Tamandua tetradactyla: one gene and its partners. The protein of the gene in region 3 interacts with the protein of the main gene of each other region in a pairwise test. Links are inferred from orthologs where the notes say so. Each region holds a gene or a part of one and is shown on either strand. Other genes may lie near its edges. The genes, in order: NOD2, PNMA5, VIM and KAT7.

Region 1 (8,021 bases), on a different chromosome or scaffold from region 3:
GTTCTGAGCTCTGATACTTCCTTCCTTCCAGAGACCACAGCAGGGCCAGGCTTTCTCTGGGGCCCACGCTCTGCTTACATACTGACACCCCAGTCTCCTGGTCTTGCAGCAGGAGAGGAAGGGAGGACCAGGGAAGCTGCCCTTGCTCTTAGCTCCTGGGAAGCTGGTGCCAATCTTCTCGCCCCACTCCCAGCCATCCCCCATTCTGGTCCCCCCCTTCCCAGGCTGTCATTCCACATTAGCACACAGACACACTGTCATTTCTCCCCTCTCAAAATGTAAAGCCTCTCCCGTTCCCCTTTCTGCTACAACCCTATTTCTCTGTTCTTCTAACAGCAGGCCTCCTGTCCTCTGCCTCTACCACTGCATCCCAGTCCTCATCTCCCCTCCCCTCCATCAGGTTTTCGCCCCACCACTCCATCGAGACTGCTTTTGTCAAAGTCATCAGCCACGCCACCTTGCTCGATTCACAGCCCTCATCTTGCTCATTCTGCTGAAGGCATTTGTCATAATTACTGTCCTCTCCTCCTTGAAGAACGTTCCTCCTTAGAGCCCAGGACACTGCCCTCTGCTCTTTCTCAGTCCTAGTGCTAGTCCAGGGGTCCCTGAATAGACCCCTCTTCTCCCATCCCTCGCTCTCTAAGTGGGCTCCCCTGCTCTTATGGCTTACCTACTAACACTGTGTGTTGGCACCCCAAATTTCATTTCTTGCTCCCCCCACATGCCTCAACTTTTCCCAGCTGCTTACTGGACCTCTTTACATGGATGTCCAATAGGCAACCCAAACTTAGCAAGTACCAGACCAAACTCCTTTCTTCTCCCTAAACAGCTCCTGGCACAGGCATCCCTATCTCAGCTGACCATACCTCCAAATGTCCAGGCGCTCAGGCCAAAAGCCTGACTCCCACCCCTCCTTGTGCATCCCAAATCCTATCGAACCTACCTTCTAAGTACATCCCAAATCAGAAAATCTGATCATTGCTCGCCACCTCTTTCCAGGCCCCATGGTTTCTCCCCTGAATAATGGCAGTAGACCTCTTTGGTCCACTACTTCTGCCCTCACCCCTCTACAGTCTATCCTCCATCCCCCAGCCAGATGAGCTTGTGAAACCCCAGATCGGAGCAAGTGTCTCCTCCAGTGACACCCATTGCAATCAAGTGAAAACAAAAATCTTCCCCGTGACCTTTAGGGCCATACACTATGGACACACACACACACACACACACACACACACACACACACACACACACCAACCCTTACTTTTCTGAACTCGTTTCCTACTAACCCCCCACCTGTTCCTCATCCACCCAGCTCTGGACACACCGGCTTCTGCCTCAGGACCTTTGCACATGCTCCTCCCTCTATTGGCACACTCTCCCTCCCCCAGACATTGACATGGCTCACCCCTCACCTCCATCAAGGCTTTGCTCAGTTGTCACCATCTCAGAGGGACAGTCCCTGACTAGGCTACATAAAACTGCAATACCCCACCCCATCATCCTTCCCTGCTTTCTTCTCCATGGCATACTTCTCACCACCTGACATACTATGCATTCACCTATTTGATTGCTTTTGACTGCTTTCGAGAATGTGAACCCTATGAAGGCAGACAGTTTCGTCTATTTTCTTCATTACTCTATCCCCATGTCTCATACAATGCATCAATCAGGATTTTTCAAATAAAGGAATAAATTTCCTCTGTATGGCTCCAGCAGGCAGAAGTGGAGCCAAGAAGGGGGATCTGCAAGCCCTGGGCTTTAGCTGAGTGTAGTGAGAACTGCAGGACTCATAAGCAATGAGGTCCCTGTCACCAGGCAGACGCAACAGAGGTTGGGCCAGCACTCTGCAGGCATTCAGCCCTGGGTGGGAGGGAGGTGGGCTAGAGGAGATTCCTTCCACCTTCAAATTCCAACATGTAGAGAGGAAAAGGGGGCCTTGAGTAACCAGCAAACTCAGGGGCCGCTGGGGTCCCCAGCAGACCGATTCAGGCAGCGGAGCAGAGGCCATGGAAGGCCACTCTGGTCTTCACCAAGCGCCGGGGAGGGGCGGCAGGGCAGGCTTTTTCCCTTCTATGGAATAAGGACTCTTCAAGGAGCCAGCCCCTGGGGAAACTGAGGCAAAGGGCAGGAAGAAGCCAAAGGGCCCCAAACAGAGGAAAGAGGCCCAGGGCAGCCTCAGAGCCAGGGGTCTAGCTACCAGCCCTCAGCCAGCTGCAGAAGATGCCGCCCGAGGGGACCTGGGGAGTTTTCTGAGTTTGTTGGCAAGTAAGAAGGACAAGAGGGCTGCAGTGGGGAGAGCGAATGACTCAGAGGATGCGGTGCTGGGCAGCAGATGGAGTGGGGATAGGGGGTGAACTGGGAAAACTAAGAAGAAGGAGCCCCCATAATATTTATAGGGCCAGAGGTGGGGCTAGAGATTATCCAAGCAGACTCTCCCACATACACCCAACCATTCACAGGTATGGGAAGATGGGGAAACTAAGGCCCAGAGTGAAGAAGGGTAACTACAAAGGGTGATCCCACTGAGACGCTGGGTGTCTGGTCTCCTCACTCCCAGCCCAGAGCCTCAAGACTTCACAACTCAGAGGTTCTGTCCCCACTACTCTGGTGACCCCCAAGTCAAGCACCCTCTCCAGACATCAGGGAACCTGGGAGGTGGTGAGTCCCACCCATGCCCCCAAGTCTCCTCATCATCTGTATCCACAACCCACCAGGTGGCTTCCCAACCTTGAGACATTCTCTTTTCTCTGTCCCCCATGTATACCCCGGGAGTCCTCAAAGGCAAACCGAGGCGCACCCTCCCCAAATCCAGCGACTATAACGGCTCTGAAGCCAGGCGTCCGACTGCCAGGGGGCAGGACACTCGGCGCCCACTGTCTCCCCGCCGCCTGGGCGCTGGGCGCAGACTTCGCGCCCGGAGCAGACTTCGCGCCCGGAGCGAGCACTCACCGCGGAGCCGCCGGCGTCCCGAATCCTCAGCCCGGGCTCGGGAAGCGTCTCCCGCCTCTGGCTCCGGCTCCCGCCGCGCGGGTCTTCGGCTCCGCCCCGCCGTGTCCCCGCCCCGGGCCCGTCCCACTGCCGGGCACCCCGCCCGCCGCGCCGCTGCCAGGCGGGCCACACCCGCTCCCCGCCCCAGAGCGCCCGCGTCCCGGGGGGCCAGGAACTCACCTGAGACCTGAGAGTGGCTGGGAGGGAGTCCGGAGACAAGTCTCTCGGGACACACACACCCTCCAAAACACAGACACACGCACGTGCGGTGACATCCTTTGGTGTTATACTAACCTGTGCATCCTTGGGGGAACTAGTCAATCCAGTTTTTGAAAGTCTTAAAATTGCGAAGTTCCCAGAACAATGCTGTAGGTACGTGATGGTTTACACACCTTCCATTTTTCTCTCCACCTTGTAAGTTGGCGAGAGAGGTCTCAGTTTAGTTTAGTAGGGCTGAGCTCTTCTAGAACACAGCCTCGTCTCCTTGTCGCTGCAGCAATATGAAACCAGAAGCTAACAGCACTGTCTTGTTTTCAGTCTATTTATTTTTTGATTTCCTATTCTACAGAGCAAGTGACACTACTTTGTCAAGTAAGGAATATCAATGTTCCTTTTATACACTTCTATCTGGCTTTTTAAAAAATGTGAAGTCAATTTCAAGAAAAATAATGAAAATAACATGTATATAGCACTTCCTGTGTGCCAGGCTTTACATAGATTCACAGAGTGAACTATTAAAATCCCAGATTTTCAGATGAGGAAATTGAAACACAGAGTCATTCTCCTATCCCAGATTTCAAAGTTGTGACGGCAGAGCCACGTCCTGCCCCCAAGGTGTCTAGACCAAAGAGTGTATTCTAAAACACTGCCCTGCATTGCTTCCGGGTAAATACCTGCACAAGTGGGGCACGGTGGGCTGAGGCTGGGAAATGCTGAATCGAAAGACTCATTCTTTCCTTGATTTTCATCAAGGAAATCATTCCAGATGGGGGACAAATCTACCCACAAGGATGCCCTTAACAGTGAAAGGCTGGAAACCTCAATGTCCAATCCTATGAGATGGCTTAAAGGACACGACGGAGCCTCTGAACCTGGAGAACTCAATCGCCATGTGTTCTCTGCTACCCCACATCCTAGGAAAAAATTATTCAGCTTGACCTTCAAAATGGATCCAGAATGCAGCCGCTTCTTACCATGTCCACCATGACCACCTGGGTCTAAATTACCATCATCTCTCCTCCAGATTATAGCAAGCACTCCTAGCAGTTCTCTATGGTTTCAACCATAGTTTTTCTTCAACACAGCAGCCAGAGTCCATTAAAAAAAAAAAAGGCTAATTAGGTCCCTCCTCTGCTCAAACCCCTCCAATGGTTCCATTTCATTCATATTCATAGTCAAAGCCAAGTCCTACTGTCAGTATTTGTCACCCTGTGACCTCTCCAAATCCTCCTGTCCTCGCTCACTCTGCTCCAGCCACGTGGGCCTCCCGGACATTCCTGGGATGTGCCAACCCTGCGGCCACCTCCAGGCCTTTGCATTTGCTGTTTCCTCTGCCTGGAATGCTCTTCCTCTAAAATCCATGTGGCTGCCTCCTCCACCTCTTTCAGGTCTTTGCTTAAATATGACTTTCACAGGGACGCCTTCTCTGGCTCTCCCCTACAAAATTGCGACCTGCCCCCCACATCCCTTTCCCTGCATTTTGTAATTTTCTCCATAGCACTTATCTCCATATAACACACTATATGTCCTACTTATTTTCTTTGTCAATCTCTCCCCGCTGGGACTTGAAACAGGAACCTTTCTGCGTCATTCGTTTCCTTATTCCAGGGTCTAGAACAGGACCTGGTAAGCTATAAATATTTGAATGAATGTCCTAAAAACAATGCAGTAATTGTAATAACAAATGAACTACTGCAACCCACAAAAACACCAATGAATCTCATGGGCAAAATGTTGAGTAGAAGAAGTCATATGCAAAGGCATACTTACCATCTGTTATCAATTGTATAAAGTTCAGAAGCAGGCAAAACTAAGTGGTAGGGGCCAGGATAACAGTTACCATGGGGTGGAGGTAATGACTGAGAAGGGGCATGGGGAGCTTCCAGGATGCAAATAATGTTCTGTATTTTGGTCTGAGTGGCAGTTACACAGGTGTGAATACTTTCTGAAAATTCATGGCTAAACACTTACAGTGTTTGCACTTTTCTTTGTATTACTTATATTTCAATAAGCCTTTATTATTGTTATTTTTTTGGTATGTTGTATGGCAGGGTCACATTTCATTATTTTTCCATGTGAGTATCCTGTTACTACAGCACCATTTGTTGAATTTTTTTGTTTGTTTGTTGTTGGCTTGTTTTTGGTTGTTCGTTTGGGGAAAGTGCATGACCCGGGAATCAAACCCAGATCTCCTGCATGGCAGGTGAGAATTCTACCACTAAATTACCCTTGCACCCCCAATAAAGCTTTATTTTTAAAAGATGCTTATAGATATATGTTCATTAGCATGGAAAGATGCCATAATATAATATCAGTTTTCTAAATGGGTTGCTATTTGAAAAGGGTGCCAAGATATTCAATGGGGAAAGATTGTATCTTTTCAACAAATGATGCTAGATAGCCACATAAAAAAGAATGAAGTTGGGCCCCTACCTCACACCAAATACAAAAATTAACTGAAAACTGGTTGAGGACTTAAATAAAAGAGCTAAAACTGGAAAATTCATAGAAGAAAAAATAGGAGTAAAACTTCATGACCTTCGATGGGGCAATGGTTTCTCAGCTGTGACACCTAAAGCATACACAATCAAAGAAAAAATAATAAATTGGACTTCATCAGAATTAAAAACTTTATCTTTCAAAGACATTATCAAGAAAGTCAAAAGATACCCACAGAATGATAGAAAATATTTGCAAAGTCGTATAGTCAAGGATCTAGTGACTAGAATAAAGAACTCTTACAACTTAGCAATTTTGATAAGTAACCCAATTTTTTTTAATGGGCAAAGGATTTGAATAGGTGTTTATCAAATATATATATATATATATACAAATGAACATGAAAAGACGTTCAATGTCATTAGTCAATAGGGAAATGCAAATCAAAACCACGTGAGATACCATTCCATATCCAGTAGGATGGCTATACTAAAAAACAGAGAATAACAAATGTGGGGAAGAATGTGGAAAAATGGAAACCCTCATACACTGCTGCTGGGGATGTAAAATGGTGCGGCCACTTTGGAAAAACAGTTTGATAAATCCTCAAAAAGTTAAACATATACTTACCAATGACCAGGCAGCTCAATCCTAAGTATATACTCAAGAGAACTGAAAACATAGGTTCACATAAAAACTTGTACATGAATGTTCACAGTAGCATTATTTATGGTAGCCTAAAACTGGAAGCAAATGTCCATCAGCGGGTGAATGGATAAACAAGATGTTATATATCCGTGCAATGGAATATTAGTCAGCCTAAAAAGGAATGAAGTTTGGATATATGTGACAACAGGGATGAACCTTGAAGACATTACACTAAGTGAAAGAAACCAGACACAAAAGGCCACATGTTGTATGGTCCAGGTTCTAGTTTGCTAGCTGCCGGAATGCAAAATACCAGAAATGGAATGGCTTTTAAAAGGGGAATTTAATAAGTGGCTAGTGTAAAGTTCTAAGGGCAAGAAAATGTCCCAATTAAAACAAGTCTATAGAAATGTCCAATCAAAGGCATGCATCCAGGGATGAAGTTCAGGGTTTCTCTCCCAAGTGAGAAGGCACATGGCAAACACAGTCAGGGTTCTTTCTCTCTCAGCTGGAAGGGCACATGGCAAACACGGCATCATCTGCTAGCTTTCTCTCCTGGCTTCCAGTTTCATGAAGCTCCCCAGGAAGTGTTTTCCTTTTTCATCTCCAAAGGTCGCTGGCTCATGGATTCTCTGCTTCGTGGTGCTGCAGCATTCTCTGCTCTCTCCAAATCTCTTTCATTCTCCAAAATGTTTCCTCTTTTATAGGACTCCAGAAACTAATGAAGACCCACCCAAATGGGTGGAGACATGTCGTCACCTAATCCAGTTTAACAACCACTCTTGATTAAATCACATCTCCAGGGAGATGCTCTGATTACAGTTTCAAACATACAGTACTGAATAGGGATTATTCTGCCTTTAGGAAATGGGATTTAGATTACAACATGGCTTTTCGAGGGGGCATACATCCTCTCAAACCTGCACAGTCCATAACTATGAAATGTCCAGAATAAACAAGTCCACAGAGACAGAAAATAGATTAGTGGTTGCTAAAGCTGGAGGGAGAGGAGATGGGGAGTGATTGCTAATGGATGCAGGGTTTCTTTTTGGGGTGATGAAATGTTCTGGAGTCAGATAATAGTGATGGTTACACAGCCTTGTGAATATACTAAAAGCCACTGAATTATACACTTTAGAAGGATGAATTTTACAGCATATGAATTATATGTCAATACAAAAAAAGTGAGTTGCAAAAATGTTTCATGCAGCATGCTCTTATTTCTGTAATAAAATCTATGAATACATGCATTTAAAAAGTCAAAAGACTATCCTTCAAAATTTATGGTTGGATTGTAAGTAGATTGTTTAAATTCTCTTTTGTTAGCTTATATTTCCTAATAAGCCCATATTGCTTGTATAATAATTTTTTAAAGCTTTCTTTTCAGTGGGTTAAGAAGCCTTTATTACCACCTCCCTGCCTGCAGGGTCCCATGCCAAAGGCAGGCAGTAGGGATGCTCTGGTGGTGTTTCTGTACTTGAGTGCCCTGACCTGGTCACCTACCAGGTAGTGCTCAGAAAGCAAGGGGACAGTCTCCAGGAGCCCCAGGCCTGAGCCCTTCCTCACTGGGAGTCACCTTCTGGGTTGTGACATTTAAAATTCTACTGGATGGGGAGGCTGGTGGAAGAATAGGTATGCCGGCTGCCTGTGTGCAAGGGCTGCCCCCAGGAGCTTGGACTGTCTCCTTCAGGTGCAAGCTGAAAGAACCCTGACAGGTGCCACCGGCT
Region 2 (7,426 bases), on a different chromosome or scaffold from region 3:
TCTGCCCAGATGCCACCGTGCTGATCCCCGTGTGCCAAGACATCCACCAAGACCCTGGATACAAGACCCAGGGTACAAGAAACTCCTCAATTGGGCGCTGCTGCTGGCACCAACAGGCTCCTAAGTGAGGCTATGGCCACATCCACCATGCCCTCTACCCTCACCCCGGCACCCACCCCTCATACACCTCGGACCACAATTGCTCATACTCCCAACACTCTGATTCCATGCGCAAATGCCCCTCATGCTCCTGCTCGCCCACCTGCTCACCTCCCCCATCTCACCCCCAAGTGCCCCCTTCCCACCTCACAGTCTCACCCCTCTGCCTACTCCCTCCCCTAGCTATCTGCCTACACTCCGAACCCTCCCACCTAATGATCTTGCCCTGGTGCGTTCACCCTCTCATCCCCACACCTACTCTCAAACCTCGGGGATCTCAACTTGACACCCCACCCCCACCCCCACCCCAGCTGACGCTGTCGCCCCTGCGCCCATCCCCCACCTGCACAATCTACCCCCACGCGCGTTCCCCATGCCTCCTGGTTCGCCCCATGACCTCCTGCTCTCACCCCCACATTCACCCTTTAACCTTCCTGATCTCCCCAGGAACTGCCCAGTCCCACCTCACTCTGTCTCCCCTATACCCATCTCCCTACCTCCACACCCTCCCACCTCAGGGTCTTAACCCTGTGCACTCGCCCCCTCACCTCCGTTCTCACCCCCTGCACCCACTCCCTCACCTCCGCGATCCTGCTTTGATGCTCCCGCCCAGCGCATTCTCTCATCTCCGTGCCCATCCCCCAACCGCCCGATCTGCCGCGTCTCCGTCTTGCCCCATGCACTAACCCCCACCCCTTACACTTTCACCCCCGCGATCCTCCTCGATGCCCCCCGCCCAGCTCACGCTCCCACCCCCCCAACCGCCGCTATCTGCCGCCACCCGCGCAGCCTCCCCCATCACGGTCTTACACCCATGTACTCGCCCCTACACTTTGCACTCTCACCCATGTGCACACTCCCTCACCTCCGCAATCTTTCATCGATGTGCCCTGCACAGCTTATACTCTCGCCCCCACGCCCATCCCCCAACCGCCGCCATCTGCCGCCACCCGTGCACCCTCCCCCATCGCGCGCTCACCCCCACACCCATCCCCCAACCACCGCCATGTGCCGCCACCCGCGCAGCCTCCCCCATCACGGTCTTACGCCCGTGTACTCGCCCCCACACCTTGCACTCTCACCCACGTGCACACTCCCTCACCTCCACAATCTTTCATCATGTACCTCACCCAGCGCAAGCTCTCACCCTTGCACCCACCGTCCGCTTCCTTGATGCACCCACATGTGCACCCTCCCACCTCATGGGCTTCCCCTGTGCACTCGGCCCCTCACCTTGCACTCTCACCCCCGCGCCCACACCCTTACCTCCGCGATTCTGCCTAGACGTGCCCTGCACAGCTCATACTCTCGCCCCCGCACCCACCCCCCAACCGCCGCCATCTGCCGCCACCCACGCACCCATCCCCCAATCGCCGCCATGTGCCGCCACCCGCGCACCCTCCCCCACCACGCTCGCCCCCGCGCCCATTCCCCCAACCGCCAGCCGCCATCTGCCGCCACCCGCAAACCCTCTCACCTCACGTTCTTACACACATATACTCGCCCCCATACCTTGCACTCTCACCCCCGCAATCTTTCCTCAATGTACTTCACCCAGCTCACGCTCTCACCCGGGCACCCATCCTCCACCTCCATGATGCCCCCACCCGCACACCCTCCCACCTCACACTCTTGTCGCTGACCACTCAGCCCCTCACCTCACTCACCCAGGCGCCCGCATCCTCACTTCCGCGATCCCGCCTCCACGTGCCCCACCCAGCTCACGCTCTCACCCCCGCGCCCATCTCCCAAACACCGCCACCTGCCGCCACCCGCGCACCCTCCCCCATTACACTCTCACCCTCGTGCCATCCACCAACCGCCGCCATCTGCCCCCACCCGCGCACCCTCCCCCATTACACTCTCACCCTCGTGCCATCCCCCAACCGCCGCCATCTGCCCCCACCCGCGCACCCTCCCACCTCACGGTCTTACGCCCGTGTACTCGCCCCCACACCTCGCGCTCTCGCCCCCGCACCCTGTAACCTTTGCGATCTCCCCTCGACGTAACCCCGCCCAGCTCACTGTCGGCCCGCCTCCGCCGCGTCCTGCCCCCACATCCGCACGCCCCCTCCCGCCTCCGCACGCCCCGCTGCCAGCGCACCGCCCCCCTCTCGCCCCCGCCCCCTCTCGCCCCCGCCTACCCCACGCACTGAGTCGCCGCCTCACGGTCTTGCCCCCATCCTTCTCGCCCTCTGTCGCGCGGGGCCCACCCCACCGCCTCCACGATGTCGACTCCACGCGCACCCTCCCTCTTCACGGTCTCGCCCTTGCCATGTAGCCCCACTCTCACGCTCTCGCGCCCAGGAGCCCACCCCTGCACCCCCGCGACCTCCCCCCATGCGTGCAGCCCCTCACTCAGGCCCCTGCCACAGCGTCCACCACCTCCCACCCCAGGTTCTCTCCCACACTCGCTCCCCCACCCCCACCCCCTTCACGCCCACCCTGGGGCCCAGCAACCCCGTCCCCCGAGGACCGTCTCCCCACGTGCAGGTTGGCGGACACCGGGCGGAGAGAGACCCGGGCGCCCTGGCCTGCCCGCGAGGGGGCTCGGGGCAGGTTCGGGGTGGCCCGAGGTCCAGGAACACCCAGGGCGGCCGAGGCCCGCGCATGCTGCGCGCTGTCAGGGTGCGGGCCCATCTTAGCGGGAACCCGCTGCCTGGGGACCCTGCGGTCACCCGCCCCGGGGATGCCCGGTGGGGACGGAAGGCGAATATGGGACGGGGAATAGGGTTTCCCTTGCGACCACAGGGCCGCCAGGACACCGGGGGACCCGCACCTTACCCGTCGGAGACGCCTGAGGAGCGGAGCCCCCGCGGGCCGCCGCCACCTCTCGTCCGCCGCCGCAGTGCAGTGTGGGCCGCCAGTGGGTGGAGTGTTAAGGGGAGCCGCGTGATGGCCCCCCGCGGAGCTGCACACGGCCCGCTCGCGGCTGCGCCCTGAAGCCTGCACGCCTCGAGGTGGGGGTGGGGGAACCGAAGTCCCGCCCTGTCACCCCTCTACCCCCCCACCCCGCACGGCAGCCCACCCAGAAGCCAGCCTGGGCCACGTGGTGCCCCCACCCCCCACCCCCCCCCGCCAGCAGCTCACAGTGCCGGCCGGCCTGTCCCCCGCCAGTCCATCCCCACCCCACCCCCACCCCCCTACCCCACCCCACCCCCACCCCACCCCACCCCCCTACCCCACCCCACCCCCACCCCCCTACCCCCACCCCGCTACCCCACCCCCCTACCCCCACCCCGCTACCCCACCCCCCTACCCCCACCCCGCTACCCCACCCCCCTACCCCCACCCCGCCCCACCCCACCCCCCTACCCCACCCCACCCCACCCCCCTACCCCACCCCATGCGGTCGGCCCCTAGGAGCCCGCCAAGCCACGTGTCCCGCGAGCCCCAGCAGCCATTGCGGGACCCGAGGGCAGGTGCCGCTCCCCATTGGCCGGACACTGTGGCGCGACAGCCACCCACGCCCTCCTCATTTCCATATTGCGGCCGGGCGCAGAGGGAAAGCAAGGCTTGGCGCCTTTTTTGCCTTTAGGCGGGGTGGGGTGGGCGTGCTTTGGGGGGGAGGTGAGGCATGGCGAGAAACGGGGATCCGCCCCACCCCGAAATAGAAAACTATCAAAAGACTCCTAATCCTCGTTTTTCTCTCGCTTTCAGGACCAAGTATTACCCAGCTAGACCCAAATGAATTCTCGCCCTTTCTTAAAGGAACGTTTTCTCCAGACTGAAGAGGTTTGCTCTGAGGCAGAGGCGTGGTGGGGGAGGGGTGTTCTGGAAAGTTCCTTGACTCCGATGCTGCAGGTGCCTGACCATGCCTTGGGTCGTGAGGCTCTAAAAGCCTGTTTTTACTTTTCAGGGCCAGATGATGTGACCCTTTGGTGACATAGTAGATTTCTTTACCCTTATTTGCTAAAGGTACACACACACAAAAGAAAAAAAAACACCCCCAGACGGTTTCATGATTGTTCTATAAAAAAAAAAATCCTAAAAACAAAGCAAATTTCAATAAAAAGTCACTGAGTGAGATGTTTGCAGTGCACAGCATATTCCCCTTTAACTGCAGAAGACTCCCTCAGTGTGCCTTACCTCCTAAGAATAGGCAGATTTGTTCAATCAGTCTCCTTGGCTGGAGGAGCAAACAAGGCTAACTGGTGCTGCTGGGGTGTTACACTCCCGTTGGGATGTTTTATTCGGGGGGGGGGGTTGTTTTACCCGGGGCGGTGGGCGGATTCTCAGATCACTGTCCAGTGTCCTGACTCCCACTGGCCTCGTGGACACTGCTAGTTCTGCCTGCCAGACCTGTACTTCCCCTCACAATGGCTGGGGTGTTAACTTCATAACTCTTCCTTCCTTTTAAAAAGCAATTTATCAAGGATAATTAATAGGCAGTAAAACACATCCATTTTAAGTTTAGAGTCTGGGCACCACCCCAGTCAAGACCAAGAAATGTCTCCATTACCCCAAATGGATGCATACCGTGTGATTCCACTTGTGTAGAACTCTTGAAAATGCAAACTGATCTGCAGTGACAAGAAACCAGATCGGAGAATGCAGAGATAGGGACAGGGACGGGAAGGCAGGGGTATCACAAAGGGGTACCCAGAAAGTTTGGGGGGTGACAGATGTGCTCACTCTTAATTGCAGTGATGGTTTCACGGATGCCAAAACTCATCCAAGCGTGCACTTGAGACGTGGTTTATTGTGTGCCAATTATAACCCCAGTAAAGCTATTAAAACATAAATGTACAAAGAGTATTCTCAGGAAAGGCCTGGTGTCCAGGCTCTCACAGGGAGTGAGCTCCAGTAGCCGGAGGAAGCTTTAGAGCAGAGATGTATGCATTCCCAGGCACATGTGGGAGCTGAAGGTCTCCCCAGGGGTGGAAATAGCACCAGCCGCCCTGGGAAAAGTGTGGCATGAAGAAGGGGTCCACAGAAGGCCTTCGCAGAGGGAGTCCAAAGCCAGGAGGTGTGCAGGGTGCAGGCAGGAGGTGTTCACAGACAGAGCACTCAGCAGGGGACTCCTTCCCTAGCAGATGTGTGCTGGACAGCATGGACGAGCTGGGTGAAGCAGCACTGACAGACTTAGAGGCAGGTGCCAGGGAGGTAGGGCCACTTTCGAGCAGGAAGGGCTCAGATAATCAGTGACTTCCACAATCCCTACCAGGCCGGGGGGACTGAGGGGCAGGGAGGCTGTTGCAGGCTTTGGGGAAATCCGAAAGTAAATAAGTGGTTCCCAGGCCCCAAGATGCAATGGTCCCAGCTACCTGCAGGACTGTCAGGGCTGATTGCCAGGAGGTTGCCGGGAAGCTGCTGGAAAAGTCTGCGTGTGATTTCTTTGGATGCCCCATACTAGCGTGCTACCAGAAAATGAGGGCTTCGCTGCTGTCCCAATGTGGCATGAATGCCTCTCCCTGGGGAAGGGAACGCAGAGCCAGTGTGGTGAAGGAACCTGGGACCTGAGGTTCCCAGGCCTCTGCTTTACACAAAAGGGCAGGGACGAGCAGAGCTGAGAAAGCCAAGCCAGCCAGCCCTCCCTTCCCGCTCAGCATCCGTCACATTCTCCCACCCACATTCATCTCCCAGGTGATGACCACGGTGACATTATGCCTCCGCTCGGCGGGGCGTGACCAGCCCTCAGGTAGGTGAACACACCCTCACCCTCTCTCCAGAAAAGGGGGAGTCCGAGGTCCCATTAGGCAAATTCTCATTCTCTGGCCCAATTGTGAGGTCAATTACCACCAAGATAAATTAACCACGGGATTAGAAAAGGAAAGTAAGAAGGAACAAAGGAGTTAAGATACTCAAAAGCGTGACAAAATGCACAGAGCTTCTCTAGCTCTTATTTCTGCAGCTGGCCCTGAGGTGTAGCCAATCTTTAGAATTTCCTCCTTCTGCGAACCTTCCAAGGACCCCTGTCCTCACCCAGCTGGCTGTGGCTGCCTTAACTTCCCATTCAGTGGGACCGGCGCAGGGTCCCCTGGTGGAAGCATTCCTCCCTTGGAAACTAAGTCTGCCGGACCAGCAGAGCCCCAAATTGCAGGGATGGGAAACAAATATTTTGTTAGTGGACCAGGAACACAATACTGAACGGAGCCACTCCCACTTCTGCCCCTCAGTTTCTGGACCCAGCCATTCTGGCATCTGCCAAAACCAGTGGGCAGTACTCCACCCTGCCCCAAAGGCTGGCCATCCCTTTAGCATCCCAACTGAGTCTTCAAAGGCTGCTCCATCACACCCGCTGCCCTTCGGTGGGGGAAGACCAGTGAACTCTACCAGCCAAGGGCCTTTCCTTCCTTCCTTCCTCATGCGCATTCTTCCCACGGCTCCTGGGATGCCAGATTCTTGCGGCTCCCCTCCTCCTTCACTGGTCCTTCCTCTCTTTGGGGTTTCCAGCTGCTCCTCTGCTTGGTGGCCCCCAGGACTCAGCCCCACTAGGCATGGCACCGACTGGTCCCTCTGCCTGGAAACCTCTTCCCTCCAGGTCCCTGTACCAGTGGCTGCTTCTCATCATTCTGCCTTCAGGACAAATTTCCTCACCTGAGATTCCTCCCCCTCTCATCTAAAGTCACCAATGCAGCTGCTCTCTCGCTCTGTGCTGCCTGACAGAGCTTTCTGCAAGGATGCAGATGAACTGTCCCATAGGGTAGCTGCCAGCCTCACGTGGCCACCAAGCGCTTGAAACGTGGGGAGTGCAATGAGGCACTGAATTGTTAAATTGGATTCTAACTCATTTATGCTTACGTTTCAACTGCCTCGTGGGGCACATGGCAGCCAGGGCAAAACGGCACAGCTCCAGCCCGTCATGGTCATAAATGATCTCACTTATTTTTGTCAGCAGCATTTATCAAGTGCCTGCTTGATGCCGGGCATAATGCCAGGTACTGACGTGGGAAAGAGGCGTGAGCCAAATAACAAAAATCCCATGCAGAAGAATTACTGATTGTACATGTAGATTGGAATGATTTCTAATTGTTTTGTTAATTCTTTTTTTAATTAATAAAAAAAAAAAATCCCATGCAGAGGTTGCATTTGAGTAGGGAAAGACAAACCATGAACAAGATGGCCATGTGAACAGAGGAAGCTAAAAGGGGTCTAAGGAGAGCTGAGGAGTGGGTGCAATTCTGCACAGAGTGGTCCAGGGGGCCTCAGGGAGCCAGCCCGGTGGGCATCTTCAGGCAGAGGGGAGAACAATGCAATGCCCTGAGGCAGGAGGATGCCTAGAATGGAGGGGGGGGGCGGGGGGATTGGGGGAGGAGGGGTGGGA
Region 3 (8,023 bases):
GGGGAGGAGAGCCCACGGGGAGGAGAGCCATGGGGAGGAGAGTCCACGGGGAGGAGAGTCCACAGGGAGGAGAGCCACGGGGAGGAGAGCCATGGGGAGGAGAGTCCATGGGGAGAAGTGCCTGTAGGACTTGATCTGGGCATGGTGGGGTGGAGGCATGAAGCGGTGGGTTGGGGGGTGAGCGGCAGAGCCCCATGGGGGCTGCACGATGGAGAACCCAGAAGCAGCGATGGCATTTCCAGCGAGGTTGGCTGGCTGCCCTGCCCTGGTAGCGGGGAAGCAGGCATGGTGGTGGGGTTCAGGCGGGCAATGGGCTCGGTTCTCTTTTGGCTATTGTTCTAGTTTGCTAGCTGCCGGAATGCAACACACCAGAGACAGACTGGCTTTTAATAAAAGGGATTTATTTTGTTAGTTCTTCAGAGGAAAGGCAGCTAACTTTCAACTGCTGTTCTTTCTTACGTGGGAAGGCACAGGGCGATCTCTGCTGGCCTTCTCTCCCGGCCTCTGGGTTCCAACAACTTTCCCGGGGTGATTCCTTTCTGCATCTCCAAAGGCCTGAGCTGAGCTCTGAGTGCTGAGATGAGGTATGCTGAGCTGCTTGGGTTGTGCTGCGTTGCGTCTCCCATTTAAGCACCAGCCAATTAAGTCAAACATCATTCATTGCAGCAGGCACGCCTCCTAGCCGACTGCAGATATAATCAGGAACAGGTGAGGTTCACATACAACTGGCTCATGTCCACAGCAACAGAACTAGGTGCCTTCATCTGGCCAAGTTGACACCTGACTCTAACTATCACAGTTATGATGCCCTGGAAGGAGGGGAAGGAACATAGGGGAAAACGTGCAACTCCCAGGTGAGAGAAGGATTCTGAGCTCCTGTTCCTCACCGAATGAAGGGGAGCCCTAGAGTCAGGGGCTCGCCAAGCTCTTCCAGGAACCTGCATCTCCACAGGTGCTAAAGGCCCTTTCCTCTGCAGCTCCTGGAGCCTGATTAATATCTGTGAGCTACACTGGCTGACAGCGGACAAGGTTCAGTCACGGACCAGGAGAATAGGCACGCACATTCGGGGACACAAAGGCCCCCCTTCGCCACCCCTACCCCAGCGACCCCACCTGAAAGACGGTGTCAGCTCCACCTCACAGGTGCTGCAAGGGCCCCCTCTTACCTTCAACATAAGCAAAGCCCCCCGACACCCAGGTTATTGTACTGCCGCCCCCAACACCCAGGTTATTGTACCACCCCCCCCAACACCCAGGTTATTGTACCGCCCCCTCCCCCCGGCGCCCTGCCTCCTCAGCTGTGCAAGCCTGCCTGCCCCCTTCCCCTCCTGCCTGCCCCCTTCCCCTCTTGCCCGTCCTGACACCCCACCCCCACTGCTGTCCTGGGTCCTACCAGCTTCTCCAAGCCCGGGGCGCAGCTCCCATCTGCCACCGGCTGGTAAGTCGGTGCAAATAACTGAACTCGGCAGACAGGGCCACAGCCTGCAAATCCCAAATCCTGCGCGGCACCTGGGGTCAGCAGGGTGGCCTGGCCTGCACCCCTGGGGCCTGGCTAGGGCACTGCCCACACTGCAGATGCAGATGGCAAAGAGCTCAGCGTTTACAGAGCACCTGAGGTGGGTTTTCACAGAGTCAAAAAATAAACACAACTGAGAACACTGTGTCTGCGCTGCCAGCTTCCAAGAGGCCCTGAAGACGCAGGGAGGAGGCAGCGAGGGCGCCAGCTCCGGCCACCGCCCCTCCCTGACGCCTGTCTCCCAGCCTCAGTAACACCCAGCTGGCACTGGGCTCACCTCAGAGGGAACGCCATTCTTTCCAAAGTCTCAGGCATTGCACACATCTGCACACATATGTGAATACACACAAATGTGCACGTACATATATACATATATACATACATATAAACAAACACACTTATTTATATGCACATATTTGGATACACAGAGGCAACATGCCTACATACATATGGACACATTCACACATATACACACATACAAATACACAAAACATGCATGTATGCATATACATAATTATACATACATGTATACATATACATGTAAACACATACATTATAAGTGTACATATGCATAAACACAGATATACACACATTTACACAAACGGACACATATATGCATACACACAAACAGCATATACATTATACACATGTATATATGTATACATACACATATTGTCATGCACACTTACATACACATGCACGCATACACATATGTATCTATACACCTAGACGTACAAACACCCATGTACATACAAACAATACAAAAATGCATAATATACACACAAACATATACATTTAAGCATGCATACATATATTTATACACACACGAACACACAACACATTATACAAACATGCACACATATACATACATACATATACACAGAAACACATGAATATACATAGATACACATGCTATGCACAAATACACACATGCACACCTAAAATCACACATATACACACATGCATATATAAACACACTGTACACACACGTCATATACACTCATATAGAGACAGTTACACAGGTGTGTTTATATACATGTATGCATGCACATGCATATACAATATATGCACATATAGACACACCCCCCCACACACACACAGGTGTGTATACATGAGGCGAGTGAGCTCGTCAGTCCTGGCAAGAGTAGACTACCCCAGGCCTGAGGATACAGCAAGAGGGCACGTTTGCAGGAGAAGGGAGACATCCTGACGCCGAGGGGGGCAGAGTCCCACCGGGAGGAAGACACGCTGCCCCACCCCCGCAGGCCCAGACCCCCCTTCCGAGTGAGGCCCTGGACTGCTCTCTGTAGAGCCCACAAGCCGAGGCATCGCTCAGGCCGAGGCTTCCAGGGACTCACAATGGGGACCTTTGCTGAGCTGGGCCTGAACAGAGGCTCTTAGAGAGCAAGGCGAGGGCGGAGCCCAGGAATGTCCCCCACGGATCCCAGCCCCTGCAGCAGCGGCCTTGCCCACTGCCCCCGGGATGGGGAGTCCGGCCAGGGCAGGGAAACACTTCCAAAAGGAGGCTGTCCCTAGGCCAAATAAACCCTGCATTCGGCCCTAAGCCGCCTCCCTAAATGCCAGGTGCCGGCCAGGACCCAAGAGCGAGGGCTGGATGCTGCCCCTGCCCAGGCGGGTCTGAAGTCAGCCCTCTGGACTCCCCCAGAAAGCACGTCTCCAGGGCCCCATCACGGGAAGGCCGCTCCCTGCTGGGTCCCTTCCTGTGTGGCCTGGTCTCGCTGTAGCTGACAGGGAGACAGCAGCCCCTGGAGGTGAGTGGAGCACCCAGAAAGGGGGCAGTGGTGGCCCTGTGTACGCCTGCCGCCCCCACTCCTCTCGGCCAGGCCCCGCGGAGCTGGGGCACGTCCAGCAAAGTCCCAGGAGCCAGCGTGCGCGCTCGGTCCTGACATGAACACACCAGCCTGCTCCCCAGCCTTCCGTCAGCGGCCTTTGGCCAGGCTCATTCATCAGACTGGGGATTCCAAGCGACACCCAGTAATTCCCGCTTTGGCTCGGATTGTGCCTTTAAGGCCTTCGGTGGAGGCAGCAGCGCCAGGGGCCCTCTGCGAGATTGTGAAACCGCGGGCGGGGTTTCCTCTTTTACCCAGAACTTTCAGATCTTTCTAAAAGCCGGGCGTGGCGCCCTGGGGGAGTGGGGACGGCGCGGGCGGCCGGAGGGGGCTGGGCCTGCACGGGGCGGACCGAGTCGCGCGCGCCGAAGGGCCTTTCCGGTGAGAAGCGCGCGCGGCCGGGTCCGCTCAGGCCCTGGCGAGTTCTTAAGAACTTCGGGGCGCCCCTGTGCCCCGCAACAGCGCGGCGGCGGCCTTCTAAGTTGGCGAAGACCTAGGACAAAGCGCGAGTCCGCCTCGTCTAACGGTCTCCCGCGAACCGCTAGGCGCCCTCCCCCCGGGGACCGCAGGCGCCCTGAGTCACCCACCGCCGTGACTCAGCCACCGCGCCCCGTCCCCCGGCTTTCCTTGGCCGCCGGACCCAGCCCTCGGGTCCCGGACGGGACCCCCGAGACAGGAGGTCGAACGGGGCAGGCCCGCGCGCTCCCAGCCCAGTGGGTCAGGCGCGGGGGCGGGGGAGGGGAGCGAGACCAAGGTCCCGGTCCCGCCGCGCGCCCACCCTGCGCTCCAATCTCGGCGTTCTTTGTGTCACCCTTGCACCTCCCTCAGGCGGGGCCCTCACGCCCCACCCCGGTCACCGAGTTCCTAGCGCCCCCCGCGGCCCCTCCCGACCCTGGGCGCGGCTCCCGGCCCTTCTCCTCCAGCCACGGAGGGTTCCTCCCCCGCTCCTACCCCGCGCCCCCTCCCCATCCCTGGGCGCCGCACCCCAAATCCCTTTCCTCCAGCCCTGGGCGGATCCCCACCCTTCGCTCTCCACCAATCCAAGACTGTGGAGCGCGGTTCGAGGCCTCTCTTCTCTAGCGGAGGCGGGTCCCCGCTCCGCGCCCCCCACCCTCCTGAATGGGCGCGGCGCCGAGCCCCTCTCCTCCAGCTACGAGAAGACCCCTCCCCCGCGCCCCTCACCCCCGACCCTGGGCGCCGCGCCCCCAACCCCTCTCCTCCCGTCCCGGCGGCCCTTTCCCCGCGCCCCCCTGAGCACGGCGCGGGCCCCCTCTCCTCCAGCTCTCGGCGGGTACCTCCCGCTCAGCCCCGCTTGCTACCCGCACGCCCCTCCCCCGGCCCTGGGCGCCTCACGGGGCCCCTCTCCCCCACTCCGGGCGGGTCCCCCTCGCCCAGTGCCCCGCCTTTACCAGCCCCGGGGCTGAGCAGAGCCAGCCCAGGAAGCCCCGACAGTGCCTGCCCCGCCCCAGAAGTAACGGGACTGCCGGGCCGGACGGAAGGGGGGGACCCCGCGGGCGCCCCCCTCCTCTCCTTCGGAAGGTCCCATTGGCTGGCGCTTGCGCCGCGGCCGCCGAGAGGAGGGGGCCCTGCCTCCCTGCGCGGATAAAAGCCGCGCCCGGACTCCGGGCGTCCTCTGCCGTTCCCGCTCCGGTCCTGCGCTCGCGCCCCGCCGTCCGCCACCCGCCGCAGCCATGTCCACCCGCTCCGTGTCCTCCTCGTCCTACCGCAGGATGTTTGGCGGCCCCGGCACCGCGAGCCGCCCCAGCTCGAGCCGCAGCTACGTGACCACGTCCACGCGCACCTACAGCCTGGGCAGCGCCCTGCGCCCCAGCACCAGCCGCAGCCTCTACGGCGCGTCCCCCGGCGCCTACACAACGCGCACCTCCGCCGTGCGCGTGCGGAGCGCCGGGTCGGGCCCGCGGCTCCTGCACGACGCCGTGGACTTCTCGCTGGCCGACGCCATCAACACCGAGTTCAGGAACACGCGCACCAACGAGAAGGTGGAGCTGCAGGAGCTCAACGACCGCTTCGCCAACTACATCGACAAGGTGCGCTTCCTGGAGCAGCAGAACAAGATCCTGCTGGCCGAGCTCGAGCAGCTCAAAGGCCAGGGCAAGTCGCGCCTGGGCGACCTCTACGAGGAGGAGATGCGCGAGCTGCGCCGCCAGCTGGACCAGGTCACCAACGACAAGGCGCGCGTCGAGGTGGAGCGCGACAACCTGGCTGAGGACATCCAGCGACTGCGGGAGAAGTGAGGAGGGAGCCGCGGGGCCGGGGGGGGTGGGCGGGGCCGCCAGAGGGACCTGGTCGCGCGCTGGCCCCGGGGGCGGAGGGGCGGGCCCCGCCCTACCTCGGGACCTGGCGGGGAGCATTTCCCCTCGGCCCACGCAGTGCCCAAATGGCAGGTTTCTAAGCCTGCCGCCCGGGCTGCGCTGAGAGGCCCTGGGAAAGAGCAGAGGGATACGCCCGCGCTTGGGGGAAGGCTCCCGGCCCCGGGCGGACTGCCAGCTGCGCCCCGGCAGACCGAGGGGGCGGCAGCCGCGACGTGGGAGCTGGGTGTGGCCGTGCGGCCCCGCGCGCTCCGCGTCGCCTTGGGGTAACGGGCGCCTCTTTCAGGTTGCAGGACGAGATGATTCAGAGGGAGGAAGCCGAGAGCACCCTGCAGTCGTTCCGACAGGTGTGTGACCTACCCGCGCGCGCGCGTGCGTTGCCCCGGCCCCACCCAAGCGGCCCGCGGGCTGGCCTCGAGGTCGGCGAGCCTCGGTCCCAGGGGTGCGGAGCCTCCGGCCCAGCGCAGAGACCGCGTCTCGGGCCCAAACCCCGCGGCGACTTTCCTGGGGACGGTGGGAAAAAGGCTTTGGCTTTTTTAAACTTTGTTTCAAGGTTTTTTTTCCCAAAAAATAAGCCCGTTTCACTTTTGTAACACATTGGCATTCCGCCTTTGAACAGTTACAGTTTGACTTAGCTTGCGGTTTGCTACGGTGGAGTTGGCTAACTCATACAAGGTCACAAAAAGCAGTGAGGCTCAGAGTAGTTTAAATTGTAAAATGAGTTGCAGGATAAGAAACTTAGGCTAGTTGGAATCAAGCCAGCCAGTTTCTTTTCTTTTCTGCAAGTTCCACTGTGGCATTAAAGTTAGAAGTCCAGCCCTGCCCAGGACTTTGTGATCTAATAAGGGGGAAAGGGGCCATCTGGCCCCTTGCTGGAAGGGAATTAATGGTTTCTATGGGATTCACTATGGAATGCAGATACAGACGTTCTGGCAAATGTGGTGGCGCTGGGCAGACATAATGGCAGTCTTTGTGCTCCCCGCAGGGCTGTGCAGCAGGCGGCATTCTTATTCAGTCTGTCATGATGTAAGCAGAGCTCTCATTGGACACAAGTATTTGCTAACATCTTCACATCCGTTATCTAATATCTGGCCCAGGCTTGGGAAGTACGTGATGGGAACAGCTCTTAAAGCCACAGGGCACCTTGGACTGGCCTCTCAACTGCCCTCGTGGGTAAAGAAGATGCGAGGGCCAAAGAGCTGAACTTTAAGTAGAGGTTTTTGGGTTTTTTTCCTACAAATCTTAGCTCACTCAAAGGATTTTAAACTTACAATAGAAAGCAGGAAGGTTTCGCAGTGTAGATTTCTTCTCTCGCGCACTTACTGTACTGGCTGTAAAAGCACTTAGGTGTACAGTTGAGGATAACATCTTGAAGCTGAAAGACATTTGCCACATTAATTTAAATGCAGCAATGTGTGGTTCGCTTGAGTCACTAAGTATTTAAGATTATGTAATGTAGCGTGCAGGGCACTGAGTTAATAGAAAGCAGCTTTCATGTAAAAGGGCCTCTGTTTAGGGATGAGGCAAAGTTCCTTGCATTCTCTTCAAGGAAGCAGCTAACATGTTGAGCATTTTGAGAGGTTAGTAAAATGATTTTAAATCTTTTTAAGGGCTTAGTAGCAAGCAAAATGAATTTTTTTTCCAAATCTGATGTTTTTATTATTACCCATTCTTCACTTACTTTCCTGTGAGAGGGATGCAGATGAGATGGGGTCAGACTGCACGACAGATGTAAATTGCTCACAAGATAAGAGGTTTAGAAATCCTGGGACACTCACTTCAGAGGAAGTACAGTCTTAATTGAATGGGCTCTGATGTGGAATGTAGCAGCTTACAGAGGGTGGCAACACAGGAGGATAGTGAGGTGAGCAAGAGTCCTTGCAGGGCCTCGTGGTGGCGGGGATTGTAACGGGTCACTATGATAAAGGCAAGTGACAGAACTGACCGAGTCAGGGAGGGGGCCACACCCACCAGCCGGGTCACAAGGCTAGTCTCCCCAGGAAGGCACAGCACACATGGTCACCTTTGTTTCGGTATTTGCTGGAGCCGCATCTTTGCACACCCTAGATGTATCTAGTTGCTGCTTGATTGAAACCTGGCTGGTGATGTGGCTGCCAGGTGGTGATACCTACGGATAATTTCCGGACAATCTGAGAAGAGTAAAAGACAGCTTGGTATGCATCGACACTTTGGGAGCATGAGTTTCTGTTTTACATGCACTCATGTATAAATGAAGTTTTGCAACCCAGTTGGGCCTGTCCTGCCTGTATTCCCTTACGCTACGGGACACACATGCACACACTTTTAAAACACTGTGGCATTAACTT
Region 4 (7,162 bases), on a different chromosome or scaffold from region 3:
CTAATACATAAATCTTACAGATTCTCCAAAGAAGAGAACCGGAACTCTCAAACTTTGAGATGAATAAAGCTAGCACTCAGAAAGTTTGTCAGTTTGTACACCTCCAAGGGGCTCCATTCTCAATGTAGTCTATGTTTTGCCTTAGAGAAGGCCACCTTACAAAAATTACACTGCAAATGCAACCCCTAGGAGTCAAGCAATTCCCTAGTAATGAAGTACAGTAACTAGAAAGAGACCCAGACCTCATACATTTTCTAGCTGTTTCAAGTATTTACAACTTTCAGATGTCCAGGGCATGACCACTGACATCTTCTAAGAATCCTATGCCTCTTCCTTTGCAAAATGCTGTTCCCTTTGCCTAGAACACCAAGCCCATCATTTCCTACTTGATCCTTTAAGATCTCATTCTGGGAGACCTGTTCTTAGTTGGCTGCCCTACCTTGAGGGCAAGAACATAATTTTTCCATCACTGCATCCTACTACATAGCATAGTATTTGAATTATACTAGGCATTTATCAATACTGCCATTGTAGAAAAAAACTTAAAAGTTGCAAAATCAAAGACAGCTATTCTTTAAACTCTTAAATTTAAAAATAAAAAATTAAAGACAGCTGTTGAGAAAATATTCCCTCTTTCTTGCTTGAAAAATTGAAGTTTTTCTCTGTTTTGCAACATGCATTTAGCAATGATCAAATCAGCACTCAAAGCATATTATAATTTTTCTTTTCTTAATCTTGTATCTCCTACCGATCATCAGCTTTGCACATTTCAACCTTCTTTCCTCCCCAGGGAATTCTAGAGTAGAAGCAGAAGTCAAGGGTGCCTTCCAAATCCAAGTACAGATGGCTAATGGCACTAAAGAACCTAAACTTCCTTCCAACTCTGAGAGTCTAGATTTTTTACTATTCCCCCCAAATTCTGGGTATTTACACAATGATGTTTGGGTACATTTGTATTTATTAAGTGTGTATCTGACTATATTTCACAACTAAATATGGTTTCAGAAGTACTAGGCTCCTTCAACTATAGATTAAAGATACTATGTTAAGTCCCTAAACCTAAACTGTTGTGATAGAAAATGAAGCGGTAATATTCCCATTTTACTGAAGGGAAAACTGTAGTCTAAAAAAATTAAATGACTTATGACATACATCATGGCACACTCTAACATGTCACGTTATGTCATAGTTCCTTTGGGTCTACAAATTGGATGGCACCCCCAACAGAACCATTTTTAAAGACCTGATACATATACAGTTATTCATTCTGCATTTCACCAGTTTCTGACATCTATACCAAGATAAGGGACCAGTTTCCAAATTAACTACCACAATAACAGACTGACCAATGGTCAGCTGTGAGTGGTCAGAGAGAACAAAGCCTTTTACCTTGAGAACTCTGGCTCAGCCTGGCTGAGGAGCGGGTGACTCTGGCAGATCGCCGAGAGGTGCCATCACTCTCTGAACTGTCTGTGTGCTCGAGATCTGTAGAAAAATCGGAATCTTCGGTTCCATCTGAACTACTGCCTGCATTCCTCTGTAACACCATAGATCCAGACATTAGCACAGAAGTATTTAAACTATAGGATCGTGTTAACAGTGGAAATAAAACAAACCATGATGCCGAAAACACCAAGCTCTACCTCAGAAAGGATTCCAGATACAATTCCTCCGCCAGCCTAGAGTCAACTAGCCTTTATTAAGAACATTTAAACAGGTAACCTACAAATAAGGTACTTTTGTTAAATAAACAAAAAATTAACTCTTACTGTATTATCACTAATTCTGAAACTAATCCATTTGGAGATAAGCATAACAAAAGTATCCAACTCAAAAATGGTCTGGCTGATGTATCAATGCACATGGAAAGTCCAAATCAGTAAGAAAAATGTTTGGCTAAGATCCATTCGACTTCAGGTTACCTTTGTTCTAAATCTCCACAAACAGCTATCATATGTTAAGAAACCATGTGCTAATTCAAAATATCATGGTCCTCAACTATGTTACCAAGAGAACTTCCAGAGAAAGAGAAAAAGAAAGAAACTCTTTCTTATGTCCTCTCCCCGTAAAGGTTTCTCTAAAAGGACTGGAAAAGGCAGCTTGCATGTGAAAAGTTGGGGATATTAAAAAACAGATTTTTAAAATAATGTTTTCCTAAAAATTATTCGTCAATCATTAGCTTCCTCAGGAGTGAATAGCCATAAAGATAATTTTTATCAACTGAGCACTAACACTATATCCTTTAATCAGAGAAAGGAGAATATTTACTAAAATACAGAGCTTTGAACTACAAATCCCTAATCCTTTATTCAAAATGCTTGGGTCCAGCTGAGTTTGCTATTCATTATTTCTTAGATTATTGGAAAGAGACTACTTCACATACAAATAAAGCCTATAATCAAGCATATTAATATTTCTGCAGCAAAATGTGAAAACAGTAACACTAAATGCGATATATAAAAAACATAAATAGCTGCTGGACAGTTTAAGACAGATTTTGACACCAAATAAATTGCTATAAAACTTAAATTTTCCAAAGATATTTGTATTTGGGAATTGCAGAAGGGGGATGGTGGACCTATTCCAATGCACCAACACTATTCCTGCATTTGGTGAGCCTTAAGATAAATACCACCTACCAACTCTAGGTCATCTTAGGAGACCTTAAATATAATACATATTTTTAATTTGAAAGTCTGTGCAGAAATGGAGGCCACAGAACAGAGTCACAGAATGGATGGAGGGAGAGTCCTAAAGATCATCTAGTTCAATTATCCAGATATTTCAACCCCTGATCACCTCTGAACATTCCTTCCCAGCTTTACCCAGGCTTTCACCAATATACTCCCCATTTACTCCAGAGCAGATTTAACTGCTTCCCACTGCCCTTGTATTACATATTTCTCCACTTAGAGAATGCATAGACTGTCTTACCGTTCTGTATGTTTTCCTCATGAGACTGCGAGTCCCTTAAACTAGGGATTGTCTAAGTAGTTTTCCAATCCCCAGCAAGCCAGCCAATAACAAGCAGTCAAACCTTTCTTCAACCAAATTAGATTTGTTGTTTAGTCCTGGCTCTGCCATTGCACTCACTTAAGAGTGGTTTTGGGCACACTACTACTAGGCCTCCGTTTGCTCAGTTGTAAAAAGAGAGACGGGGTGGTTCCTAGGTAATCCTTTAACTCTCTTCTAATTCTAGAAAGTTTCTGCTTTTACAAACTGCATTTTCTAGGCGCTGCTGAGCTAAAGACATAAAGAAAAATTAAGACTTAGACTCAATAGGCCTGAATGGATCCCTTGAGAGCGGACACTGGTTCCACAGCACCGAGTCCTCTGCTTTGTTGTCACCGCCCCCGCTCGCCCCCCCCACCCCGGAAAGAAAGGAAGCCTTAAAAACCCCGCCTCTACACCTATCAGCATCCCCACCCAGAAGGGAGGGGTCCCGTGCCGCCCAATAGAGGTCCTGCTAAACTGCGCCCCCACGGGACAGACTGCCAAGTACAGCCAATCAAGAGAAGAGGGATAGTTCTCTACAGCCAGTTAGAGCGCGGTAAGGCCGGGCCCAGACACCGCCCCCGCACGCGGGGAGGTGACCGTTGGATCCAAATGGGCGGTATCACCAGCCAATCAATATACGTCTCGATGTTTCAACAACCAATTAGCGATCAGAACGCCTCCGATCCAGCCAAGCAGAGGGCGGGAATAGTAGCAAGCATAGGCCCAGGCCAGGGTCGGGCCCACATTCTTCTATCGAGTACAGACGGAAGAGAGGGTTGCTGAGCTAAGTTGGGGGAGCAGGAAGTTGGTCCCCAACCACTGTGAAGCGTGGCTAGCTGCATCACGTTGCTCAATCGACTGTCCTCAGAAACCCGCCATCCCTCCCCTCTCGTTTTTCTCACCTTTCTTCGCGGCATCGCCGGCGGCTGCGGCCCGACGGTTCCGATCCGGGCAGCGGCGGCAGCAGCAGTAGGAACGGTGGCTCCGGCGGGCTCCGTGGCGGCCTCTGTAGCAGTCCCAATCCTGCGGACGATCCCAAGTGCCTCCTGCCTCACAGCGTCGAGAGTCTTCTGCGCAGGCGCCGCGGGCTGAGGCGCTTTTTCCTTCACTTCCGGCTGTGGTCGCGTCACTTTGCGCTCAGGCCAGAGATGGTGCTGGGAAGCGGGCGTGGCGTTCGCCCTCTTTGGTGAGGCTAGTGAGCGCCATTTTGGAATTGGGCAGGAAAAGACACTGGTAGCAGAAACCAGGGCTATTTAGGTGAATGGCGGCCTTTGTGGGCGTGGTTAGCTATTCTTGTTTGCGGCAAAAACTTGATAGTTGAAGTTAAAGGTTTTCATCTTTATCTTGGGCAAAGTTTCCCTTCCAGGTCGTTTTAAATTACTGGCGACGAAGAAGGAAACCCCCAAAATCCATGAAGTTGTTGAAGTTTAACTCCTTCGTTGCCTAATTGGCTAAAGATATTTCCGTTTAGCATGTAAACTCAAAATTGAGAAGGGGTATTTTGCACAGGAAACTTTTAAGAACCAGCCTGTGGCTCGATAGGGGAGGGAATGGCGGCTTATAAAATGAACGAAAGGGTAGCTTCTATCATCAGAAAGTTTTCTTTTTGGTAGAGGAGATACTCCCCTTGCCCTTGGCGAACAGTACGTAAATTGGTCGTTCGGGTGGTGGGAGGAGGCAATTATTCTCCAGAAGCAGTAGCTCCTAAGAATTTCCATTTTAGCCCTGTGGTGAACTTCTCCCTCCTTCCCCCATTTTGTATGGATTTCAGAGTACTGAGTGGCCAGGGATGAAAAATGTAGCGAAAACGTGGGGGTGCCATGCTAGAGTCGGAGAACCATTGAACCTATTTATCCCGAGTGAATTCTGAAAATCCAGATAGCGTGAGCCGGGAGTTGGGGTCAGGGGAGAAGAGGAAGGGATGTTTTTGAGCTAGAGTTTAAAAAGGTATAGATATTTAAATAACGATGGTGATGATGATGATTAGGGCCTCCTTTGAGAGCCTAGGAAGAAGTTGGTCAAAGATGTAACCTCGCTGGAAAAAAAGCCTTGAGAAGACCAAGACTTTGTTAACAGCAGCTGGGTGGAATCCAGACAGGCTTAAGTTAGGATCCTGGACCCGGGTTCCAACCTGAGCCTACTAAAATGAAGATTTCCCCCAAGGAGCAGAGTTCAAGAACAAAGCAGCAGAAGGCAAACATCTGATTGGTGGCTGAACAGAGGATTCTGAAGAGTTAAGATGCCCGACCCTATGCCAGCACTCTCTGTGGAGATATCCTGGACCAGTGTTGACAAAGGCAACTTTCAGTATTTAGTAATTTGATATTTAGCTTTTAATAATTAGTAGAAGTACTTTTGAATAGCCTACTTAGGTTGAACTGCATAGAAGAACTTATTTGAAAACGGCTCATATTTCTTCTTGCTTTGTATCCTCTCAGCAATCAAGCCTTGGCTATCACACTGTTACGCTGTTATTTTGCACTTAATGTTCTGTGCTGAGTTCACTTTTGAGGCTTCTGGCTCCCCACCTAGTAGTAATGACCTCTTGTGTTAAAAGCATATCTCAATTCTTTTGTGACATCCCCTCTAATAATGCCTAGACCGTGTTCTACCCACACTAAATACAAGCTAATCAAAGTATCATCTCTATTCTCCAGTCTCTGAATGTGCAGGATTTAAGTCACCCTCCCTGGAAACTGGTATTGGAGAAAAAGATCTTATCCTGACTTAAACCATTCCTAATACAAATACCAATATGACAACTGTTAAATGTTAGTAAAGCTCTTAAACTGCATTCTCTGCATGCGGCCAACACTTAAGAGTTCACAGTTTAAACATGGTTCTTGTACTTGGAAAGTGTACATTCTGGCAGAAAGATGAAAAACTTAACACCAATAGGATAGAAATAACATTCCTAAGGGGGAAAGAATGTGTACTTAACATGAGATTATACCAACTAGGTGTATTTAAAGAGAAGGAGCGGGAATCTTACATTTTTCTTTCTTTTTGTTTTAGACCAAGTATTTTTACTTTGAGTAAAGTAAGGACATAATAAGCTCTTACTTGGTTTCAAGGCCTTAGACCATTTGCTCCCTGCCCATCTTCAGCCACCAGACTTTACATAGATACTCTCCACTGTCCTTCCTGCCTTTACCCTTTCACACAGGCTTTTCTTCCTACCTACATGCATCTCCCAACACACCTTAAAATTTACTTTCTTCAAAAAGTTTTCCTATCGCTTCTCGGCCTTTTGGCTAAGATCAAGTGTAGTATCTGTTCTTATCAGTTTTATATCTGATATGTCCTCTATCCGAGGACAATATATTAAATGGATTTTTGGAATTAGGAGATGGAATAGGAGCTTGCTCCGTCCACTCCATGCATCGACCTGGTATTGCAGTATTTCCAGGAACAGTGCACGCCCCTCGGGGGGACAATAAATGTATAAAAAGTTTTTCCTGATTTATTCTTTTTAAGGTAGTAAGTCATGGTGCTATGCAATTTTGCAGTTACTGCAATATTTATACTTTTCCTTATACAATTTGGTAGATGGTTTATTCCTCACTGCCTTTCTCAAACAGATAAGAACAGTAACTCTTACTTATTCATCAGATCTACTAGTGTCCAGTATAGGACTTTCATGTCACATCTGGATTTAAATCTCAGGTCTGTTCCTTTCTCTCTGGATGCTCTTTGCACAAGATTTTTAATTGATCCATATCTCAGTTTTCACATCTGTGAACAGGAATATTAATTCCCACCTCACGGGGCTGTTATTAGGCTTAAAAGAGATGATTGTTGCAAAGCACTTAGCACAGCACTGTTCAATGAATAACTGTTGTTATTGATATGTATAATTCATGGCTATAATGTCTTAATGTTTGTAAATATATCTTTTCATGGTCCCAGTGGTTCTTTGCTTTTGTCTGTTCAACCTCAGTTCAATTCAACAGACCCGGAGTGATAACCCAGGCATTATACCATCTTTCCCCTAAAAGGACTTAGAATCCTTCTGGGACAGACAGATCAATAAGCTCATAGTTCCAAAACACTACAGCATATTATCTGGGAAAAGAGAAGGATGAGCAAAGTTCAAAAGTGCCACGGAAGAGGAAATGGATGGGTTTATCTGGAAGGTGTAGGAAAAGATTCACAGAAGAGATAA

Evidence for each region.
Region 1: the proteins of VIM (region 3) and NOD2 interact in binary tests that used the Homo sapiens proteins (3 or more experiments, as listed by UniProt). The link is inferred for Tamandua tetradactyla from reciprocal best matches to the Homo sapiens genes VIM and NOD2.
Region 2: the proteins of VIM (region 3) and PNMA5 interact in binary tests that used the Homo sapiens proteins (3 or more experiments, as listed by UniProt). The link is inferred for Tamandua tetradactyla from reciprocal best matches to the Homo sapiens genes VIM and PNMA5.
Region 4: the proteins of VIM (region 3) and KAT7 interact in binary tests that used the Homo sapiens proteins (3 or more experiments, as listed by UniProt). The link is inferred for Tamandua tetradactyla from reciprocal best matches to the Homo sapiens genes VIM and KAT7.

What each region holds. Positions count from the first base shown.
Region 1 is NC_135342.1:44,463,816-44,471,836, reverse strand, and holds the start of NOD2 (nucleotide-binding oligomerization domain-containing protein 2), read right to left. Parts: upstream 3,018-8,021; 5' UTR 2,950-3,017; intron 1-2,949. UniProt on the Homo sapiens protein: Pattern recognition receptor (PRR) that detects bacterial peptidoglycan fragments and other danger signals and plays an important role in gastrointestinal immunity.
Region 2 is NC_135353.1:4,736,554-4,743,979, reverse strand, and holds the start of PNMA5 (paraneoplastic antigen-like protein 5), read right to left. Parts: upstream 3,057-7,426; 5' UTR 2,944-3,056; intron 2,140-2,943; exon of another isoform or gene 2,117-2,139; intron 2,057-2,116; exon of another isoform or gene 2,028-2,056; intron 1-2,027.
Region 3 is NC_135327.1:231,910,408-231,918,430, forward strand, and holds the start of VIM (vimentin), read left to right. Parts: upstream 1-4,979; 5' UTR 4,980-5,057; coding exon 5,058-5,617; intron 5,618-5,982; coding exon 5,983-6,043; intron 6,044-8,023. UniProt on the Homo sapiens protein: Vimentins are class-III intermediate filaments found in various non-epithelial cells, especially mesenchymal cells. Vimentin is attached to the nucleus, endoplasmic reticulum, and mitochondria, either laterally or terminally.
Region 4 is NC_135332.1:30,970,712-30,977,873, reverse strand, and holds the start of KAT7 (histone acetyltransferase KAT7), read right to left. Parts: upstream 3,069-7,162; 5' UTR 2,956-3,068; coding exon 2,935-2,955; intron 1,538-2,934; coding exon 1,390-1,537; intron 1-1,389. UniProt on the Homo sapiens protein: Catalytic subunit of histone acetyltransferase HBO1 complexes, which specifically mediate acetylation of histone H3 at 'Lys-14' (H3K14ac), thereby regulating various processes, such as gene transcription, protein ubiquitination, immune regulation, stem cell pluripotent and self-renewal maintenance and embryonic development.